2 linked regions of the Nothobranchius furzeri genome follow. The protein of the gene in region 2 purifies or fractionates together with the protein of the main gene of each other region. This does not show direct contact. Links are inferred from orthologs where the notes say so. Each region holds a gene or a part of one and is shown on either strand. Other genes may lie near its edges.

Evidence for each region.
Region 1: the proteins of tsen2 (region 2) and tsen34 purify together in Homo sapiens (affinity purification with mass spectrometry; 3 studies listed by BioGRID and IntAct, counting the BioPlex papers as one, with this or other methods). This does not show direct contact. The link is inferred for Nothobranchius furzeri from reciprocal best matches to the Homo sapiens genes TSEN2 and TSEN34.

Annotation. Positions count from the first base shown.
Region 1 is NC_091753.1:55,691,885-55,696,174, forward strand, and holds the start of tsen34 (tRNA-splicing endonuclease subunit Sen34), read right to left. Parts: upstream 2,926-4,290; 5' UTR 2,640-2,925; intron 1,520-2,639; exon of another isoform or gene 1,437-1,519; intron 527-1,436; 5' UTR 518-526; coding exon 269-517; intron 1-268. Other genes in the region: eif2a (eukaryotic translation initiation factor 2A), read right to left, coding at 3,818-3,883, 3,997-4,062, 4,238-4,290. UniProt on the Homo sapiens protein: Constitutes one of the two catalytic subunit of the tRNA-splicing endonuclease complex, a complex responsible for identification and cleavage of the splice sites in pre-tRNA. It cleaves pre-tRNA at the 5'- and 3'-splice sites to release the intron.
Region 2 is NC_091743.1:77,143,319-77,147,136, reverse strand, and holds part of tsen2 (tRNA-splicing endonuclease subunit Sen2), read right to left. Parts: intron 3,397-3,818; coding exon 3,285-3,396; intron 3,205-3,284; coding exon 3,115-3,204; intron 1-3,114.

The sequences.
Region 1 (4,290 bases), on a different chromosome or scaffold from region 2:
TCCCACCCACCAGCTGTTGGAACTGCTATAGGTCAGTACCAGTTTACGGCTCTGCAACAAACATTTAAAGTCTAAATTACGTATGATGTCACAGGGGTGTAAACATTCTTACACCCTCCTTCGTGACATTTGACTGAATTATGACGCTTTCTTGAGTCTGCCCGGTATTTTCTGTTACCGTTGGTAGTGTGTGATGTTTCTTGGGATTGTGCCTCACAGGGAGAGGCACTCGTTATCTCACAGCGACAGTAAAGTCATTCATTCAGACCTGGTTCCGTGGAGGAAAGGCCGCAGCGTGGCGCTCCCTCAGCAGTCTCTCCTCCTCTGGCAGCAGCAGCAGTGGTCGACCCAGTTTGAGGTTCTGTCTGGGGGCTCTGGGCAGTGAGCCGAGCAGGGCCCCCACCACACTCTGAGACCTGACGGTCCTCAGGTCCTGAGCACGCCACAGGAGTGGGGTGGAGTCACAAAGACTGAGAGCCACTACAGGGTCGGAGCTCTCCTGGTTCTGGTCCTCCATCAGCAGGATCTGCCAATCAGAACGAAGCCACGTAAACTATCTGATTTCTTTAAACAACACATAATCACCAATAAACTAGGAGTAGGCCAGGATTATCCCACATAATTTCACTAGTATGAGACACTTGGAACAACGGTAGTGAGGAGCTAAAGGCATGCCCATAACTGGAGGGTTGCAGGTTCGCCTCCCGCTCAGTTTATTGCAGTCGTTTTCAATTCAAAAATACTTTATTAATCCCAGAGGGAAATTGATTGCTGTAGTAGCTCAGAATAATAATAATAATCAAGTCATCAAAGAGTTGTTGTATATTACAACGGCTGTTGGCAGGAAGGATCTCCAGTAGCGGTCAGTGTTGCAGCCAAACTGAAGAAGCCTCTGACTGAAGACTCTTCCGTTGTCGGACAGTCTTGTGAAGAGAATGCTCAGGGTTGTCCATCATTTTCTTGATTCTCTGGAGAATCCTTCTTTGCATTATCTCCTCCAGCAGTTCCGAAACTGACGAAACTCTGGCTGAGTCCTTGAAAGGGCTTGGAGTTCCTCCATCTTGTTGGCCAGTGATCTCACATTGCCCATTATGATCGATGGAAGAGATGGTTTGAATTTCCTCTTTCTCTGTCTCCGTTTTGCTCCCGCTCTGCATCCACGCTTCTTGCGTTTTAGCTCATTTGGGATTTTTGGCTTCAGCTGAGGTATTATTTCAGCCTTTCACATGTTAATCAGCTGCTCCCGATTGTAAACCAGCTTGTTGCCGTGGTTACGCATCATAACAAATGCTCAAAAAGTGAAAAAAGCTAAAAAAATAGCAGTAAAAATCCTCCAAGCTTCACAGCACCAGAAACAGAAAAGTAAAGTGTCCAAAAAAATACAGTTTTTCTTGAGAAACTAGAAGAAAAAATACCCAAGAAAAGGCAAAACTTACATATAGTCAACAGAGCTACTCCAACATGCAGCCACCCAGAGCAGCGCCGTTCCGGAAAAACTTTGTACCTAGGGAAGACACCCCCCCACCCCCCACCCCGCTCATGGTGGTTAGAGGAACTGACGGCACCCATGTACGGCAAGCTGGCCTCCGTCAGTGCACCACAGGAAGGTGTTCTGAGAAAACATCCTACCCATAGGCTAATTTTACGGTGTTTTACATGACACTAACCCTAACCCAAAAAATCAAGTATCAACGTCAATAAAAAGTACTAATACTTACTACTGATCTATTTTCCTGCAAATATGACAAAGGAGTAGCATTTCCTTTTTGTGTTGCTCAGGAACAACAGGTAGGACGGTTTACGGGGTAGGAGAAGTTCCCAGAACACCGGCTGCGGCTACAATGTAGCTCATCACCACCAGTGTGTGAATGTGCAGGTAAACAGGCATGTTGTAAAGCACCTTGGGGGGCTGTAGGACCCCAGAAGGAGCTATATAAATAAAGGCCATTTATCACTTTACTTGAATTGTGCCTTTAATTTTCTGTAGGTTGAACAAACGTTTACAGCGATTATTAGAATTAAGATTAAGGTCAGAGTGAGTGACGTCATCAGCTGCTGCTTCAAGGAGGAAATATGAATCTGCACTAAAAACTGAGATTTCACAGGAACAGTAAAAAGTGTCTAAAGTCTGCCTCATTGTGCTGCAGTTAGCATTAATACAGGGTACGGTGGCACATTATCACTAGATATCACAACGATTCCTCTTTACTGTCGGTAAGGAGTGGAGGCAATTTACCAATTATTTCACCATGGTAACTAGAGAGAGAGTAATATGACTCCATTCACAATCTGGTACCAATAATAATAATAATAATAATAATAACATCCTGAGTTTGTTAGTATTTGTTGTAAATAAGAGCCCGGGTGACCAAGACCTCTGACCTGCAGCTAGTTTACTATGTAATCCCACTGATTAAGGTTAGGGTTAGGACTAGTTAGGGTTTGTTGACACAAACTAACTAGCACTTTGGTTCGGTCTGATGGACCCGAGGCTTTCTGTCTCACGCATGCGCAGACTTTGCGGATTTTCTAACCGGTACAGTCTGACCCTGCTCTCAGACAATCCGAGTCCTGGTCTGGTTCTGCTCAGAAACCGAACCTGAACGAACTGGAGAGCAACCTTTTACCAACTACCTTACCAGCAAGTGCCTCCTCCGCGTTTGGCTTTACGACCTGCCGTAAACCGCTTCGCTTTTGTTACAACTTTATTGAACGCGTAAGTTAACAGCACAGGCACACGTTCCTCCCAGCTGATCCACTGTCAGGAAACTGGAATGTTATTTCAGATAGTTCAGATCTGCCTAACTGCTTTAGCAAAACATAATAGTCATGGCATTCATATTTACTAAATAAGCATTAATAACACCTCTAATAAACTCACTACTACTATAGATCCATCTGTAGGTTAGGCAGACATGCGATTTAATAAAAACCAGCTGGTATTTTTAGTACAACCTTGATTATATTTGTTTGAAGGACACAAAATCCTATCACCATCCAACTAATACCAGTTTCTACTATAGCTGTACTCACTCCTGTTCCATGAGGTCAACATACAAGTAGAGGAATTGTTGGTAAAAAATCATTTTCCCAAAGGAAACCTGGCTTTGCTGCTTCCTGGGCCCTGAAGCAGGTTTGGTTGCTGACCTTCTATGGCCTGTTCTAACTACGACCATTAATGTGGTTTTATTGTTCTTCGTGAAGTTTATATGACAGGTTCAGCCATTTGGGTCATCACTGACTGGATGAATAAAAGCACCACAGATATAAGGTGACACGATTCAAGGCAGTAACAATAAACCACCGGATCTAAACTAGTTGTTTAATTATAACCAGTTTGACTCAGCACTCACTCGTACACCCTAACGCATGAGGATCTGAGGACAAATGTGTTCTGGTGCTGCAGCAGAACAGAACTGGACCTGGTCCAAAAGAGAATCTATCGCTCAGTATTTTTTTAGACAAAAAAACAAACAAACAAACAGACGCTAATAAGCAGGGTCAGGCTTTTATTATGAAAGGAACACTGTCAAAACAAAAGTCTTTAGATTTGTAAACCACTGCACTTCCTGTTGCCTACACTTCCCAGAATGCCTCTGGGCGGTGCTGCCACAGGTAGGAACGAAAGCAGGTCTAATCAGTTCACCTTAGCGATTAGCCCCGCCCCTTAGAAACCGCTGCCCTGATGAAGAGCCACCAGACCTTTGGGTCAGCTCAGTCAGACCCTCCCAAGCACATCGCCACTCCTCACTGGGTCGCTGTACAAGAGGGATGCATGATGGGACGAGGGCGTGGCTGAAGGACTGAGTGGCTTCTTCTACTGTCCCACCTGCAGATCCCGCAGCTCCTCCAGGAGCTGCTCCTCCTTCTGGATCTTCTCCAGCTGCAGGAAACACAAGGTTCAGATTCTGGTTCAACAGGGTAACGCATTATCTACGGTTACAGGAGGGCGTGGTTCTAAAGGCAGCTACACTGCTTTTGCAGAACCTTCCAGACCTGGTTCTTCTGCAGAACTTTCCCAGACGCCTGTTGCTCCTTCAGCTCATCGATGGCCTTCAGTTTCTGGAACACACGGATGCATAACTGACTCTCTGGCCAATCACAACGCAGAACACCACCAACATCCTCCAATCACCTCCAGGGACGGTGGCCCTGAAGGACCAGGATTGGCCACGACTGCTGTGTTTGGTTACAGCGGCCTGTCGTACAGACACGAAGACTCCGACATGCTCTTTACCTTCTTTAGGTTCTTGATCTTCTTGTCGGTTTCTGGATCCCCGTTGGTCTCTT
Region 2 (3,818 bases):
AAGAGGGAGCTGAGCCAGAAAGCCAGGCTCTCGATTTACTGGTCGATCTACGTCCCAATCCTCACCTATGGTCATGAGCTTTGGGTAATGACCGAAAGAACGAGATCGTGGATACAAGCGGCCGAAATGAGTTTCCTCCGTAGGGTGGCCGGGCTCAGCCTTAGAGATAGGGTGAGGAGCTCGGACATTCGGGAGGGACTCGGAGTAGAACCGCTGCTCCTCCGGATCGAAAGGAGCCAGTTGAGGTGGTTTGGGCATCTGGTCAGGATGCCTCCTGGACGCCTCCCTGGGGAGGTGTTTCGGGCATGTCCTGCCGGCAGAAGGCCCCCGGGTCGACCCAGGACACGTTGGAGAAGTTACATCTCCAATCTGGTCCGGGAACGCCTTGGGGTCCTGCCGGAGGAGCTGGTGGACAAGGCCGGGGAGAGGACGGCCTGGAGCTCCCTAGTTGGGATGCTGCCCCCGCGACCCGGACCCGGATAAGCGGAGGAAGACGAGACGACGAGACTGTCGCTGCATGCTTGCTTAGTATGAGGATTGCTGTAAAGACTCTTGACGCTAGTCAGTGACTCGATGCAACCTGCTGGGTTCCTTCTATAGGAAACCTTTTACTGATTGGCTTAATGGCCTGACCTGTATTGGAGTGTTTACTGTGTAAAGGTCCTTGAGACGACTCTGGTCCTGATTTGGCGCTAAAGAAATAAACTGAACTGCACTGAATTGAAACGTTGTAATGACCCCTCCAGCAGACTGTAAGATAGGTGTGTATTTAGTTGACGCTCGTCTTTCAGGTTAAAGTCAGAATCAGTCTCTGTGTTCTGGAAGGTTCTGCAGACTGAAACATGTTGACAGACAGAAGAGAAATAAAAGCTCCAAACTCCCACAGCTTCATCAAGCATCTGCAGCCCGGTGAACTGTCCCTAATAGAGATGTAAGAAAATATTGATAGGGCAATATATCGCAATATTTTTTCTTGTGATATTATATCGATAATCAAAAGCCATGTAGTGAATTTTTGGAAGAATTTACATGCAAGCATTTGTGTATTTTCTTTTCTTTTGATGCAATTCAAACGCCGACCGCTAACTGGCAAAAGTGTGCACTGGGTTTTGTTTCCACCACTGAAATGTGAATCCCTCTTTTATGGTTCAGATACCTCATACTTAACATGTTACCTATCAGTTTGGACTGTTTGTTGAATTTTCCCACAACAAATTCAGTCTAAAAACATTGCTAATAATGTCTGACTGAATGACTGAATACATCGTGATGCATCGTATCATCTCCACTGTATCGTGATATCACCAAAGTTTCACATCCTAGTCCCTAATCAAGTGGGTTGAGCCTGCACTCACCATGGTAATGGACTGTGCTCAGGATTTCTAACTTACAAATACAGTCAGGTCCATAGAAATTGGGACATCGACACAATGCTAACATTTTTGGCTCTATACACCACCACAATGGATTTCAAATGAAACGAACAAGATGTGCTTTAACTGCAGACTATCAGCTTTTATTTGAGGATATTTACATCCAAATCAGGTGAACGGTGTAGGAATTGCAGCAGTTTGCGTATGTGCCTCCCACTTGTTAAGGGACCAAATGTAATGGGACAATTGACTTCTCAGCTGTTCCATGGCTAGGCGTGTGTTATTCCATCATTATCCCAATGACAATGAGCAGATAAAAGGTCCAGAGTTCATTTCAAGTGTGCTATTTGCATTTGGAATCTGTTGCTGTCAACTGTCAAGATGAGATCCAAAGAGCTGTCACTATCAGTGAAGCAAGCCATCATTAGACTGAACAAACAAAAGAAACCTATCAGAGAGATAGCAAAAACATTAGGCATGGCCCAAACAACCGTTTGGAACATTCTCAAAAATAAGGAACGCACCAATGAGCTCAGCAACACCAAAAGACCCGGAAGACCACGGAAAACAGCTGTGGTGGATGACCGAAGAATCCTTTCCCTGGTGAAGAAAACACCCTTCACAACAGCTGGTCAGATCAAGAACACTCTCCAGGAGGTAGGTGTGTCTGTGTCAAAGTCAACAATCAAGAGAAGAGTCCACCAGTGTGAATACAGAGGCTTCACCACAAGATGTAAACCATTGGTGAGCCCCAAAAACAGGAAGGCCAGATTAGAGTTTGCCAAACAACATCTAAAAAACCCTTCACAGTTCTGGAACAACATCCTACGGACAGATGAGACCAAGATCAACTTGTACCAGAGTGATGGGAAGAGAAGAGTATGGAGATGGAAAAGAACTTCTCATGATCTCAAGCATACCACCTCATCAGTGAAGCACGGTGCTGGAAGTGTCATGGCGTGGGCATGTATGGCTGCCAGTGGAACTGGTTCTCTTGTTTTTATTGATGATGTGACTGCTGACAAAAGCATCACAATGAATTCTGAAGTGTTTGGGGCAATATTATCTGCTCATATTCAGCCAAATGCCTCAGAACTCAATGGACGGCACTTCACAGTGCAGATGGACAATGACCAAAAGCATACTGAAAAAGCAACCAAAGAGTTTTTGAAGGGAAAGAAGTGGACTGTTTTGCAATGGCCAAGTCAGTCACCTGACCTGAATCCGATTGAGCATGCATTTCACTTGCTGAAGACAAAACTGAAGGGAACATGCCCCAGGAACAAGCAGGAACTGAAGACTGTTGCAGTAGAGGCCTGGCAGAACATCACCAGGTATGAAACCCAACGTCTGGTGATGTCTATGTGTTCCAGACTTCAGGCTGTAATTGACTGCAAAGGATTTGCAACCAAGTATTGAAATGTATAAGTCTGATTTATGGTTCTTATTCTGTCCCATTACTTTTGGATCCTTAACAAGTGGGAGGCACATATGCAAACTGTTGTAATTCCTACACCGTTCACCTGATTTGGATGTAAATACCCTCAAATAAAAGCTGACAGTCTGCAGTTAAATCACATCTTGTTCGTTTCATTTGATATCCATTGTGGTGGTGTATAGAGCCAAAGATGTTAGCATTGTGTCGATGCCCCAATATCTACGGACCTGACTGTATGTGGCTGTTTTTACGGACGGGGGTGTGCAGTTAGTGCTGATATGTGACACACTGACAGGTTACTACCTGAACCTTCAACCTGCTCAGGCACACAGGTGAGTCCAGCTCTGCCTCCAATAGGTCAGCGGGGTATATGACGTAACACAACATCAGCTCCTGACGAACACACACAGATTAGCATCAGTAGAGTCAGAATAATGGCCATGTATGACGGCACAAACCTGGCAGGACATTACCTTGGAGACGTTTGCTGTGATCCTGCTGAGAGCGGCCAGAGAACGCCATGAAAACGGACGCAGAGCCATGCCCCTGAATGTTTCATCTGTCCTTTCAACTACCACGGAATAACTACAGGAAGAGAACAGGGACAATCTGAGGGACACGGAGGACACCAGAATATTGGGAGCAGTTAAGTGTAAGAAATGAAGATATGGGTCCTGTAAATAGAGGAAATATGTTTAGTCACTGAGGAGGAGTTAGGAAGCTCGTAGGACCCCAGTTCAGACCGTAACTGGACAGGGACGAGTCATAGGAACAGGTTCATCATCTACCAGGACATGGATCACTCGGTTCCAGCAACAGAGAACAAATAAAAATGTATTGGAAAAAAAATCTATTCACTTATGAGAGATGGTAAAATTATCTCCGTCAATCATACGAGTGTAGATCTGCAGACTAAACCATCATTTATTCCAGAGGCCAAACTCCTACAGCTACTGGCAGACTCTGTGTGTGTGTGTGTGTGTGTGTGTGTGTGTGTGTGTGTGTGT